Caenorhabditis elegans: one gene and its partners. The protein of the gene in region 1 binds, or shares a complex with, the protein of each later gene. Each region holds a gene or a part of one and is shown in the gene's direction. Other genes may lie near its edges.

Region 1 (5,175 bases):
GTTCAAGTGTGAAACCCGAACCTTGCTCTTGTACAGTTGATAAAACTAATGTAACTCAAAATATGAAACGGCCCAAGACTATGAAAGATATTTTAAGTTTCCAAGTTCTTTCTTAAATTCCAAAACTTCTTTGATTCAACAACTTTCTACTAAAACGCTCATAGCAAATCATCTGCAAGGACGAATCCATTGAGAATAATGTATACTAATCATCATGTTATAGTAAAAATTGCGTGATTTGTACAGTAAAAGGTCAGCAGCATTGTTGTGAGGACTACCCCCTTGGATTGTTGCTTGCTCTTTGATTGTTGAGCGGGCATCGACTGGAGCTCGGTATCGATTGTGCTAGCCAAATAAAAATCGATTAGAGGTGTGGCATTTGAAGAACATCAAATTTCTATAGATACGAAAGTGTCTATATGTATCAAGTAGCAGACTAAAAAAATTCCAAAAAAAATCGCCTACCCCACCTCTATTTTCGATTTTAAATAACCAGTCATTCGATTGAGCGCGCAATTGAGTGCCGCTAGGTCATCAAACAGGGCCGCTCATCGCAAAAACATAGCTTGACAAAATGCTGCTGTGTTACCGTACTAATCATGGAGAACCAAGAATCATCAATCATGAAAAAGCAAGACGATCCGCAGAAGAATAAAAAAGAACTGCTAAAAATCATTTGTGGTTTTGCCTTTAACTTTTCGTTTTATACAAGCTATCCCTTCCGTCGAAGCTGGCAGATTTTGTACCGGCAATACTCTCACTTTTTCCAATGTAAAGCCCAAACCTTTCTGTTGCACAGTCGACAAAACTCATCTAACTCAGAATATGAAACGACCTAACCCTGTCAGAGATATTTTAAGTTTTCAAGTTCTTTCTTAAAATCCAAAACTTCTTTGATTCAACAACTTTTTACTGAAACACTCATAGTCCATACTCTGCAAGGACGAATCCAAAGAGAATAATGTAAACTAATCATCATGTTACAGTAAAACTAACAAAAACACAACTCCGTATCCAGACATAGTCTTCCGATGCAATACACTCACTTTTTCCAATGTAAAGCCCAAACCTTTCTGTTGCACAGTCGACAAAACTCATCTAACCCAGAATATGAAACGACCTAAGACTATCAGAATTATTTTAAGTTTTCAAGTTCTTTCTTAAAATCCAAAACTTCTTTGATTCAACAACTTTTTACTGAAACACTCATAGCAAATCATCTGCAAGGACGAATCCATTGAGAATAATGTATACTAATCATCATGTTATAGTAAAAATTGCGTGATTTGTACAGTAAACGGTCAGCAGCATTGTTGTGAGGACTACCCCCTTGGATTGTTGCTTGCTCTTTGATTGTTGAGCGGGCATCGACTGGAGCTCGGTATCGATTGTGCTATTTACTTAAACAACTGATCGATAAATATATTTAAAATGTACTCGCTGCCGCGTTCTCCGGAAAAAAGGGCAAATGTCCGCATTTCTTCGTAAAGTCTGGTGTTTGCGTACACCCATTTTTCTTTCATTAAATATTTATAAATGCATTGATTCGCGTTTGAGTTTCAAAATTATCTCTATTTGAAATTCCGCGCAAATCTCATGGACGCGGCCTAGGATTCTCTTCGGTCGAGCGCTTGCAACGACGCTCCGTTCTCCCGCATGGGTGTTGTTTAGAGTTTGTTCATATTCCAAATATCGGTCCTATTTTTCAGATTTTCCAGCGTTTTCCAACATTTTTCCACAATTTTCGGAGAAAATTCTGTAAAAATTCAACTTATCTCGTTTTTCCTTCCATTTTCCTTTAAAATATCTCACAATTTACTCAATAAACCGTGTCTAAAGTTTCAGACTAGTTGGGTTACACAGAATGGTCGAAATTGACTTTAATAAAGAGAACGAAGAAGATTTTTCGGATCCGCCAGGATTTGTTGACGACGTCACCGATGATGGTTGGTTTTTTATTCAATTTTTTGAAATCAATTCCAAAAAATAGCCAACAATCAATGTTTTTATTTCAGTTCTCGTTCCTGACGTTCTCCACAAGAAACCAACTATCGATGAATTTGAAGACAATTGCGTCTTCATCGCGGGAATCCCAGTTGTTGGAGCTGACCGTCTTGGAAAACTCCAAAGTGTACTGAAGAAGGTTCTGGAGAGGTTGGATCCTGCAGTGAAGCTCTACATTCCGCCAAGTCCAGAAGGAGGTTGCTTGGTGAGATTCACGCAAACGATATCGATTTTAATATATTTTTTCCAGGGAGTTCTGCTCACCGAGTGGGCCGATCAACGATCCGCTCAGTTCGCCGTGAAAAGTTTGAATGGATATGCTTTCGATAAGAATCACACATTCACCGCCCGTTCTTTCAAGGATATGAAGCAACTCGAAGCTCCTTCCGATCACTGGACAACTCCAGAGAAGCAGGCTTATAATGACGTTGGAGATCTCTGGTGGTGGCTTCAAAACGAGCGTTGCCGTGATCAGTTCGCAATTTCCCACGATAAACTTGGAGTTCCAACTGTCGGAGTGTTCACCAATATGAAGGGAAATGATCCAGAGCTTGCAGGAGATGCCGATAAGGCTGAAAGAGCTGTAAGTTTTGAGAATTATTTGTTTTTAAAAAATGAAATAATTTTTTTTTCCAGAACTGGACCGAAACCGTCTTCACTTGGTCACCACACGGCTCCTACCTTTCCACGATCCATAAGCAAGGAATCATACTTTGGGGAGGCAAAGACTACGCTCGTGCCCACCGTTTCGCTCATACCAACGTTCAATACATTGATTTCTCGCCGTGTGAGACCTACCTTGTTACCTACGCCGCTCCGGAAGAGTCGAACAGCTGGGGAGACTGTGAGAAGGATAGTTTGAGAATTTGGGACGTCCGAACCGGAGAATTGAAGAAGGCCTTTTCCACTTTCGAGCTCACCGGAAGAACTCAGCTCCCAACCTGGCCATTCTTCAGATGGTCATTCGATGAGAAGTACTTCGCGTGCCTCAAGGCTCCAGAAAAGGATAAGCTTGAGCGTGAGCAGAAGATCAACGGAATTTCGATCTTCGAATCCGAGAAGTTCGAGCTCTATGAAGGCCGTCCCGTGAATATCGAGAATATCAAGCAATTCGAGTGGTCGCCAACATCCACAGTCCTCGCCTACTATTCAGAGTGCACTGACGCCGTTCCAGCCGAGTTTGGACTCTTGCAAGTTCCATCAATGCAGAGACTTCGTTCGGCTCGCGTTCACAATGTCGCCGACGCTCAGATGTTCTGGCAGAAGAGCGGAAAGCGATTGGCCTTCTACACGATGAGATTCAAGAAGAAGGAGTACAGAGAGACCGGAGAAGTCAAATATGTGGTAAGTTTTGAGTTTTTTAAAGGATTTTTTGAGGCCTATGACAATAATAATAATAATGATATAATTTCAGGGAGGATGCCAATACCACGTGGACATCTTCGAGATTGACAAGAAGGACGTTTCCCTTATGAATCTCCCACTTTCGGAGCCATTCATCCATTTCGATTGGGATCCAGAAGGCGATAAGTTCTGTGTGCTCGTGGGAAACACCGCTAAGGCCACTCCACAAGTCTACAAGATCGAGGCTAACAGCCACGCACCGAAGCTTGTGAGCAAGTTGGACGCTGGAGTTCACTTCAATGAGGTTCAATTCGCGCCGAAAGGAGGATGGCTTGCAGTTCTCGCCAAGGTGTCAGCTGGAGGAAACGTCTATTTCATTGATACTTCTTTGTCGGAGGCCAAGAGAACTAATGTTATAGAACATCCACTCTTCAATAAGGGATATTGGGATCCAACTGGAAGATACTTTGTGACATGCTCAACGTTGGGAGGAAGAGCCGGAGCCGATTTGGGTTACCGAATCTTCACATTCCAGGGAAGAGAACTGTGCAGAAAGAATCTCGACCGGCTCGCCCAATTCAAGTGGAGACCACGGCCGCCGGTGAAGTTGAGCGAACAGAAGCAGCGTGAGATCAAGAAGAACTTGAAGAAGACCGCCGCCAAGTTCATCAAGCAGGATGACGACGAAAAGTGCAGAGCCAGTCAGGAGGTTGTTGAGAAGCGACGCAAGATCATGGCTGCCTTCGATATTATTCGAAGCCGGAATCGCGAGCAACTCGACGCCACCCGTGACGAGAGAATCTCTCTTCGAAACGGCGTGGACACAGAAGCCCAACTCGACGAGGACGAATTTGTGGATGAGGAGATTACCATTGCGCTGAGCACAAGCAAAACACAAGCCCCTCTGACGGAGGAGGAGATGAGAGACTAATTAGTTATTTGATTTCCCGGTTTTTCCCCTTTTTTATGCGCTGCTTTTTCTTCCTGATTTCTCGAAGACTTGGAGCGGCGTCCCCTCTTTTTGGTGGTTCCACCATGTACTCGTTTTCGTTTTCCTCTTCATTTTCCCAGTCATGTCGTCATTTTCTGAACAACGCCTTTTTCTATGGCAAATTTAACTTTATGATGCCTGAATGGAGAAGGTTTTTTCAAGCTTCTTTTGGGCGGCCCTAATATTATTTAATTGTTTCTCTCTATCCACTTTAATATCTCTTGTTGCTCCCGTCTCTCCGTGTTTTCTGGTGGTTTTTGCCGATAAAATGTTGATGAATTAGTTGATGTTTCAGATTTTTTCCAAATAAACAGAAGTGAAAATTCATAAATTATATTTTTCAGCGCTATAAAATTGTGATTCTGAAAAAAAAATTCCACGTTTATTAAAAATTCCACAAATGGTGCAATGTGACGTGACGGTGTATGCACACTTTGCATTAAATTTGACGACAAATGTCTCATCGGGTTTTCTGTCAATTTTTAATCCACTTTCTCTATTTTACTCTGTTCTTTTTATACTTTTTTAAAATAAAATTTCTATAAAAAACTTTAAACTTCAATTTTAGCAATTAACCCGTTCATGCACTCATCGTTTTCGGAGCCAAATTCGCCGTTGAAAGAGGTGCTCGTAGATAAGTGGCAGACAGCCTCATGCAGCGATTTGGGCGAAGAATATGTAAAAGTAGGGGTTTTTAATGAGAAAATTTAACGAAAAAAAATCAATTTTTCAGCCGGGACCCCTGGCGAGAGCAAAATTCAACGCGTTGCGAAATAAACGCGAAGCAATTGATCGATTTTTGAAAAAGCACCGAAAAGAGGATCTCAGCTTATATA
Region 2 (3,770 bases), 6.4 Mb from region 1:
TGATGGTCACAGTTAGACTGGCCTTGTGGGGGAATTTCTATAACTTCTGGGTTTGATCTCGTCTGTTAATATAGATAAATAGAGAACAAAGGGATGATCGGTGATCTTTCAAGACCCGATTGATAACGGCCGGAGTGACGTTGAAACGGAAAAAGGACGTGACCCGAAAAAAGAAGGGATTGTTTACAAACTACACAAAACACAGATTTATAATGACTGGTTGGGTAGACATCTTTCGGAAGGGATCCGGATTGAGAAGGATATTCTAAAAGAAAAGATGAAGGGGAATCTATAGGTGAAATAGGGATTACAATCAACGAAAGGAATATTGCAATCCAAACTGTAACTCTAAAATTTCAGGTTCGCACTCTCATTCTTGCTGTTCATGAATACACTCAGAAACCAGTAAACATCATTGCTTGCTCCATGGGATCTCCAATTACCAGAAAAGCTATTCTTGGAGGACACTGTGTTGATAGTGGAGTCAATTTGGGACGCCCAATTAATCATCTAATTCATAATTATGTTTCTGTTGGTGGAGCAAATCACGGAGCTATTATGTGCGCCAAGCAGCCATTTGTGAATGGAATCTGTAGTTTAACACATGGTTTGGATTGCCGTTCCAAGTTCTTACAAGAGATCAACTCACAGTAAGTTTCGCAAAAAAAGTATCCCAGCACAGGGAATTGAACTCATGCAGGTGTGCGTGAAAGGCAAAACTTTTAGCCACTAAGCCAGCAAGGCTTTTCATTTTTTGGGTATACTAGGGCATACTTAAATTTAATTACGTTGTTTTCTGTACACATAAACATTAATTTCATGATTTTACAAGTCAACATTTTTTTCAGGCCGTTCCAATACGGAAAGAACATGTTCGCCATTTATTCCGTAGCTGACGAAGTTATTGGACTCAGAAATACGTGTGGAGAGATGTCCTCACCATTAGAAGGAGCCACTTCAATCGTCAAAACTAGACTAATGCATGGAGCAGTTATTGGTGGAACTACAGAAGATCAATGGAGGGCTCTTCAAACCTCATAAAAACAAAATCTCACCAAAAATACTAATTGACATCAAATTTCACTTGTGATCTCTTTAATTTCCTTGTTTATATTGATTCGAACTCGTTGCTTTCATTCAAAACTTTGTGTGTATATTGTTCAAAAGTTTAATAAATCAGTACAATCGTTGATTAAATTGGTATTTTGAACGAAAATGATCAGAATGTTAAATTCGTCCAAGTGATCAAGTCCATCAGGCGACTTGTAAGAATTCTCATAAGAATAGAGATAGGAAACTGCTATATTTCGCAGATCAATCTAGACACATGATACAATGTTGTGATTTTCTCCGAAAACGAAGATATTTATTATTTTCTTCAGAAATCTCTTCCGATGAGACTGAATAATCTGTGAAAACCGGAGCGGCGGCGCCATTTGGCTTTTGGGCAATACGGTGCGCAATTCTGCAAACACATGATCCCACGCGCAAATGCACAGATTTCCCAATGCGTCGTTGTTTCCCAAATTTTCGATTTTCGGGATATTTCTACATTTTTAAAAGATTTCCAGCCGTGTTTTTGTTGTAGAATATTTTTTTTACATATTTATAGTTTGTTTTTATAGATATTTGCTAAAAACTATGAATCTAGTTGAATATTCGCTTATTCTGGAAAAAAAAATCAAATACTTTAAAATCTACATGTTTTGAAGAGCTGTTTCTTTTTAATTCTGAAGTTTGTTAAACCATTTATTTGAAATTTTTTCTTATTTTATATTGCTAAAAACATAATCAATAGTTTTTCAGGTAGTAAAGTTACAGCTATGACTGGCATTAACGCGTGAGTTTTCACCCTCGAATAATTATTTACGTAAAGAAAGTTTCAGAATGGCTCCCGCTCCAGAAGTTGTAAGCTGGGCTGAGGCCGTTGAGCAAGACAGTAAGTTTTTCATTTCTCGTCTTCAAGAATATTTACGTGAACTTTCACGGTTTTCGCATTTGGAGTGCAACCGCCTAACAAAACGAGTCATTTCTGTATGAACTGATGAACGCTTTTGCAGACGCCCCACACATCCAGGAAGGAGCTGATGGAACACGTACCGAAACAGCTTTCACTGAGGTTGATGGAGTAAGATGGAAGGTTTGTTATCCGATGGCCAAAAAATTCGCCTTACAGAATTCTCGAGTTATGCTCTAGAATTCTTTCAATTCCAAATTTCAGGTTGTGACACAGTTCAAAGTTATCAACAAACGTGTACCAAAAGTCGTCGCTGATCGCAAAAAATGGGTGAAATTCGGAAGTTGTAAGGGAGAGCCAGCAGGACCCCAAGTTGCCACAACTTACGTGGCTGAAGAAGTCGATATGCAATTCACAAGAAATCGCGCAGGAGAGCAGATTCTTGACGTTCAAGAAGACAAACAGACTGCTAAAACTACAAGCCGTGAGCATTGCCGTCATTGCAAAGGAAACGACCATTGGAGTACTCATTGTCCTTACAAGGTCATGTACCAATTGGACGAGGAAGCTGATGCTGACAAGGATACTGAAAAGGATAGAATGGCAATGGGAATGCGTCCTGATGGAAGACAAATCGATAGAAATCGGTAAGCATTCAAAATACTGTAATCTAAGTTGCCCAAAAAATCTTGATGATTGAATAATTTATGAACTATTTTTAAAACATACTTTCAGATCCGATGAGAATACATGCCGTGTCACCAATCTTCCGCAAGAGATGAACGAAGACGAACTTCGTGATTTGTTCGGAAAGATTGGAAGAGTCATCCGAATCTTCATTGCCCGTGACAAAGTCACTGGTCTCCCGAAAGGATTCGCCTTCGTTACATTTGAATCAAGAGATGACGCCGCCCGTGCAATTGCAGAACTCAATGATATCCGAATGTACCATATGGTTCTCAAAGTCGAATGGACACGTCCGAGCAACTAATCCGTTTTCTGATTTATTTATGTTATGCGTACTTGGATGTTTTCCCGCTGTTTGGTTCTTCATAATTTCGTAGCTAGTGTCTGTCTAAACTGAAAATTACTGTAGACCAATTCGATGTTTGTTGTTCTTTCCTATTGAAATCATAATTTTTACTTTCTATGGTTATCAGAGTTGGCAAGTGAAGTTTATTTTCACGAAGGCAGTTCTAGCTATGAAAATTGTTGGTATTTCCTTTTCTTTCTTCAATGATAAATCTATCTCTTCCTGGTTATTTTTTCGTTCTATTTTTCCAATCGAGTTGGGTTTCTGTCCAATGTAAAATATCATAGTTTGAATAAAAATCTGATGGCTAAAAATTTTCAAACGCAATAGAACATTTTATAACTCAAAAATTCCAGATGGGCTTCTTGAAGATTCTCCGTAAGCAACGTGCTCGGGAACGCGAGATGAGAATATTAATTCTTGGATTAGACAACGCTGGAAAGACTACTTTAATGAAAAAATTCCTCGACGAGCCGACTGATACAATTGAACCAACATTAGGATTTGATATCAAAACCGTGCATTTCAAAGATTTTCAACTAAACTTATGGGATGTTGGCGGACAGAAAAGTCTAAGATCTTATTGGAAGAATTATTTCGAATCCACAGATGCTTTAATTTGGGTGGTAGATTCGTCAGATAGAGGTAGAAACAAATATTTAGGATACATTCAAATTTATAAAAACTTTTTTCAGAGCGTCTTCTACAATGCTCCGAAGAACTCAAAAAATTGCTCGGAGAAGAACGATTAGCCGGTGCTTCTCTTCTAGTTCTTGCCAA
Region 3 (5,041 bases), 9.2 Mb from region 1:
GTTCCTCTGTCCTGAGCTTTAACTGCATCACACAATCGTTTCATCCATTCATCAGAAATCTGCACTTGGTCATTGGTTACTAAATAGAGCAAAAAGTGGAAGTTTGTAGCCTGTTCCAAAAATTGATTTGTAGAGAATTCGGATGAATATTGAATCAAATTTGCACCTCCTTGAAGTTGTCCAATTGCTTGTCGATTTTCAACATTAAATTTGGCACTCTTCGATTTATTAGATGTGCCAACGTGGAACGTGTAGTGAGGCTCTTTTGGCATTCCAGCAGGAACATCCACCAGCAAATATTCAACTGGAAGTGGTCGTCCGTTTTTCATAACCTCGGCTCCGTATTCATTTTTCATCGAAAATTGAACATCAGTTATATAATGTTCTTCGGATAATGGTGTCTCTCGAACATAAGCCAATTCAGGAGTGTACAGTGTTGGACAGAGAATATCAGCTTCAACCATGGCCGCACATTGATTTGAAACTTGATATCCGTGGAAATTAACATGCATCGATTCATCACCAGATGCAACAACGGTCACAAATTTGGATCCATAGTGACGATCCATCGAGTACTCTGTGATGTTTGGATGTTGATTTTGAAGCATTGCTGCGGTGATGCATTCCTCAGCTGATAGGAAGAAGGAATCCTGAAAAATTATTCGTTTTTTGGGCTTCTCTTCGAGATTGTTCTCACCTTGTGCCGTGTATAATGTACAGTTCCTTCAGCACTATTAGCTGTCCAACAATCTGTGAAGATCCATCCAACACGTTGCAAGCCAAGCATTTCCAGCAAATTGTCAATAGTTTTTTGATTTTTATCCTCCAAAAACTCAATTCCATCTTCACGGCAGTGTTGTGGAGGTTCATAAATTGCAGCCACTGTAGCCTGAAAGTATGAGCAATGAAATAACTCGTCTCAAGAAATGAGTGATGAAGTACTGAACTTACCTTGATTCCTAGTGGAACTTCAAGGTGAGGCTGATACTGTCCAATTAAAAATCCAACACGCTGATGGCCCGATAGTCTCCAATAATCCAAAAACTGATTTACAAGCTCTTGATTTTCAATTTGAATGTTATCAACATGACGAAACTTTTGACGATTCAATGTTACAACCTGTGGTTTGCATTTAGTGCAAATTCCTTTCGGGAACGGCTTGTGAGCATCACAGTTGGGTTTTAATGAACATCGAAAGTTTTCCAGCGGTTTTTTGAGAGTCGTGCCCTTCCCCTGGGATCCAAGGAGCTTGCGAACATGTGCATGGAAGCTCATATGCTTGATATCTTTTTCTTTCAAATATTCTTCATCGAATGGCTGTAAATATTGATATTAGTTTCTATGAAAACAACAGAAAATATCACTTACATCAACAGGCAAACAATTAGTGCACTTTTGACGTACAGGATGCCGACAGTTGGGCCCTTTTGGACGCTGAATTTGACCATCTTGCGTGCTTAAAAAAACATCAACGTCGTTGACACGCTCAGTTTGAGGGACTTCAATTACCATATCTGAAATAAAATAGATTTTTAAATGCAGGAAGATATGCCTTCTAGGTAGTGAATTGAAGATATATAATTTTGAGATTTTGCAAAAATAATGCAGCGGAAAGGGTATCAAATTAGTTTCCATACATATTCAAACATTAAACAGCAAATGAAATAAAACATTTTGTTTTTAGAATAAAAAATGTCATCAAAACTGCCTAGACAACATGAATGACGAGCAAATGCGTACACAAAAAACCGTGCGGCACTCTTGCGAAATCCCATGCAACGCTTGCAATTTTCTTTTTTCCATCACATTTTCCAATTCCTTTCATCAAATTTTACAATTAAAAAAATGTTTTCTCTTAATTTTAGCGTACCTTTTCGAATTTAGTTTGACATTTAAATAATATCAATATAAAAACCTTCTTTCAGTAATGTCTCGACGCGTGGAATTCGATTTATCCACTGAAGATCACTCTGATCGTCGTCGCACCAACACCTTTTCTTGTAAGTTCACAGAATGCTATTTTTCAGAATTGATGAATAAGAGTAAAATGAGTTGAAAAATGTTAAAATTTGAAACAGTTCGAAAAGACTGAAGACTCGGTCCTTTTTTGATTAACCGATTTATTTTAATTCGGCAAACAGACATTTGGAGAATTTGGTCTGAAATAATTTTGCATAAAAACTGCAGATTAACATTCCATGAGCAAAATACATAAAATTCAGAAAAACCAAATTTTCCAAATACTGTTACAGTGAAGAATCAATGCCAATTCTCAGAACTCCCTCATTGTATATGAAAATGACTACTTTTGTCATTTTCAGTGTTTTTCGGTGTCGAATATCCTCAAATCTCAGATTAAATGAATCACAGCTTTATTCATTTGAAAGAAATAATAAATGAAAAGGTGTTCATAAGAGTTCATAAGAAGTTAATCATTTAAAAGCCCGAGAGAGAAGTTGAGTATCAGAGGATCAATGATCGTGCATTGTGAAATCTTTTCAAAAGAAAAATTGATAATCAATCAATAGAGTAATTCTATAAACATATTTATGGTAGTTATTTAGGTGCTTGTTAACAACACAAACTTATCTCATTTCTTAATTTTTAACAGCTTCAGCCGATGAGGATGGAGTTCCAAATGAGGTCGCCGACTACCTGGTCTACTTTTCCCGCATGGTTGACGAACAAAATGTGCCGGAAATTTTGACTCTCTACGATCAAGCTTTTCCAGATCTCACCGAGAGGTAATATTTAATAATCTCAAATTGTTTTCTATTTATCTTTTAATTTCAGATTCTTCCGTGATCGCATGTGGCCCGATGAGAATGTTGTCGAAAGAATTATTGGACCTGGCAACAAGTTGTTCATAATTCTCTACAAGGAACTCTATTATCGCCAGCTGTATGCAAGAAATACTCGTGGACCACTCCTTGTCCATCGCTATGAGTCGTTCATGAACTATCAAGAGTTATTCTCTGAGCTTCTCTCAAGCAAGGATCCAATTCCATTGTCTCTCCCTAACGTGTGGCTTTGGGATATTATCGACGAATTCGTCTATCAATTCCAGGTAATATTTTTTGGTAGAGTTTGTACGTAATATAAATATTCAGGCATTCTGTCTCTACAAGGCTAACCCAGGAAAACGCAATGCTGATGAAGTTGAAGATCTCATCAATATCGAAGAAAATCAGAACGCGTGGAATATCTATCCAGTTCTCAACATTCTCTATTCGCTTCTATCAAAATCCCAAATTGTGGAGCAGCTCAAGGCATTGAAGGTTTGTTTAATTCAATATTATTTTTTTGCTTTCAACTCTACAGTCGTTCCAGGAAAAACGCAATCCGGATTCGGTCGCCGATGAATTCGGTCAATCGGATCTCTACTTCAAGCTTGGATATTTCGCTCTCATCGGACTTCTCCGCACTCACGTTCTTCTAGGAGACTATCATCAGGCTTTGAAAACCGTGCAATACGTGGATATTGATCCAAAAGGAATCTACAATACAGTTCCAACTTGCCTTGTTACTCTCCATTACTTTGTTGGATTTTCTCATTTGATGATGAGAAATTACGGAGAAGCTACAAAGATGTTCGTCAATTGTCTGCTTTATATTCAAAGAACAAAGAGTGTTCAAAATCAGCAGCCATCGAAAAAGAACTTCCAATATGATGTTGTGAGTACTTTCTAAATTTTTTGCACAATATTTGCACAATAATTGAATATCTAATGAAGACCCAATAATATTCTGCCGATTTCAGATTGGAAAGACGTGGGATCAGCTTTTCCATCTTCTTGCAATCTGCCTCGCCATCCAGCCACAAAGAATCGATGAAAGCATTGCTTCTCAGCTTTCGGAGCGATGTGGTGAGCGTATGATGCACATGGCGAACGGGAATATCGATGAATTCAGAAATGCTTTTGCTACTGGGTAGGAAACGAAATTAGTCAAGTAATTGTATAGTATTGTATTGTTGCAGATGTCCAAAGTTCTTGTCTCCAACCACAGTTGTCTATGAGGGAGTCAACCAATCGAAAGAACCACTTCTTCGTCAAACTCAATCTTTCCTGGAAGGTATTGAATCACAGATGGCGTTACCAGTTCTTCGTGGATACCTGAAACTTTACACAACACTTCCAACTAAGAAGCTTGCGTCGTTCATGGATGTTGATGATGAGCACTATGATTCGTTCATTGGAAAGCTTCTCACTTACAAGGTATATATAAGAATTTCCGATGATCTCGAGTGTTGATGTAATATTTTGAATTTCAGATGATCGTCAATGAGCTTGGCAAAGAAGCCGGACCATCATCAGCAGACGACGATGAGCCACAAACAGATATTGACTTTTACGTAGACCGTGATATGATCAATATTGCCGATACCAAAGTTGCTCGTCACGTCGGTGAACATTTCATTCGACATATTCAGAAGTTGCAAGAGGTTCAGGATGTGCTCAAACGACTCGATATCCAGAAACCATGATCCTTAAAAAGTATTTGAGCTAAACGAAACATGACTGGTTGATTTCCGGTTAATTTCGTTTAGTTTCACACCAACTCCCACTCGTTTGTTAACATTATATCTCTTGTTGAAAATTAAAAACATCTCTCCGTTTATTTATACCACTTTCTCCTGTTGTTGTCTTTTCGTTTTGGTCCTAAACTTCCTTTTTTTCTCTTATCTCCCAATTATTTTGTATCCATGGTTCATAATAAGTTTAGTAAATTTTTTTGGTTTTTCTTATGAAGTTAATTTATGATTGTTTATATTCTACGCTCATCGCAACTACTTCTCAATTTTTTCCGAATAATTATTAATCTCTCTTACGAGTAGTCTTGTATGTACAGTGATAGACTGTACTTTGACCTATAGGTCCATGGTTTTCACCTAGAACGTAGTCTTATGTGTATTCTCCCACTAGTTATGCCTGCGTCTCCAGTCTCGAGGGAAGATAAGTAGAACAGGAGGACAACAACAATCTTTTCCATTGATCCCGATTTTTTTTCCCGTTTGTTTTCAAAATTAAAAAAAATTATT

Evidence for each region. The genes of interacting proteins can lie anywhere in the genome.
Region 2: eif-3.B (region 1) and eif-3.G share a complex: the UniProt entries of both Caenorhabditis elegans proteins name them as parts of the eukaryotic translation initiation factor 3 (eIF-3) complex.
Region 3: eif-3.B (region 1) and eif-3.L share a complex: the UniProt entries of both Caenorhabditis elegans proteins name them as parts of the eukaryotic translation initiation factor 3 (eIF-3) complex.

Annotation. Positions count from the first base shown.
Region 1 is NC_003280.10:14,793,565-14,798,739, forward strand, and holds eif-3.B (Eukaryotic translation initiation factor 3 subunit B), read left to right. Parts: upstream 1-1,839; 5' UTR 1,840-1,864; coding exon 1,865-1,946; intron 1,947-2,015; coding exon 2,016-2,209; intron 2,210-2,254; coding exon 2,255-2,587; intron 2,588-2,640; coding exon 2,641-3,348; intron 3,349-3,418; coding exon 3,419-4,279; 3' UTR 4,280-4,671; downstream 4,672-5,175. Other genes in the region: tbc-20 (Rab-GAP TBC domain-containing protein), read left to right, coding at 4,922-5,023, 5,073-5,175. UniProt on the Caenorhabditis elegans protein: RNA-binding component of the eukaryotic translation initiation factor 3 (eIF-3) complex, which is involved in protein synthesis of a specialized repertoire of mRNAs and, together with other initiation factors, stimulates binding of mRNA and methionyl-tRNAi to the 40S ribosome.
Region 2 is NC_003280.10:8,440,961-8,444,730, forward strand, and holds eif-3.G (Eukaryotic translation initiation factor 3 subunit G), read left to right. Parts: upstream 1-1,806; 5' UTR 1,807-1,823; coding exon 1,824-1,840; intron 1,841-1,886; coding exon 1,887-1,939; intron 1,940-2,060; coding exon 2,061-2,140; intron 2,141-2,221; coding exon 2,222-2,604; intron 2,605-2,692; coding exon 2,693-2,948; 3' UTR 2,949-3,215; downstream 3,216-3,770. Other genes in the region: lips-10 (LIPaSe related), read left to right, coding at 361-650, 849-1,041; evl-20 (ADP-ribosylation factor-like protein 2), read left to right, coding at 3,347-3,635, 3,686-3,770. UniProt on the Caenorhabditis elegans protein: RNA-binding component of the eukaryotic translation initiation factor 3 (eIF-3) complex, which is involved in protein synthesis of a specialized repertoire of mRNAs and, together with other initiation factors, stimulates binding of mRNA and methionyl-tRNAi to the 40S ribosome.
Region 3 is NC_003280.10:5,619,368-5,624,408, reverse strand, and holds eif-3.L (Eukaryotic translation initiation factor 3 subunit L), read left to right. Parts: upstream 1-1,927; coding exon 1,928-2,000; intron 2,001-2,611; coding exon of another isoform or gene 2,612-2,617; coding exon 2,618-2,744; intron 2,745-2,793; coding exon 2,794-3,067; intron 3,068-3,110; coding exon 3,111-3,278; intron 3,279-3,321; coding exon 3,322-3,675; intron 3,676-3,760; coding exon 3,761-3,930; intron 3,931-3,979; coding exon 3,980-4,217; intron 4,218-4,273; coding exon 4,274-4,486; downstream 4,487-5,041. Other genes in the region: npl-4.2 (Nuclear protein localization protein 4 homolog 2), read right to left, coding at 1-650, 698-889, 952-1,317, 1,369-1,512. UniProt on the Caenorhabditis elegans protein: Component of the eukaryotic translation initiation factor 3 (eIF-3) complex, which is involved in protein synthesis of a specialized repertoire of mRNAs and, together with other initiation factors, stimulates binding of mRNA and methionyl-tRNAi to the 40S ribosome.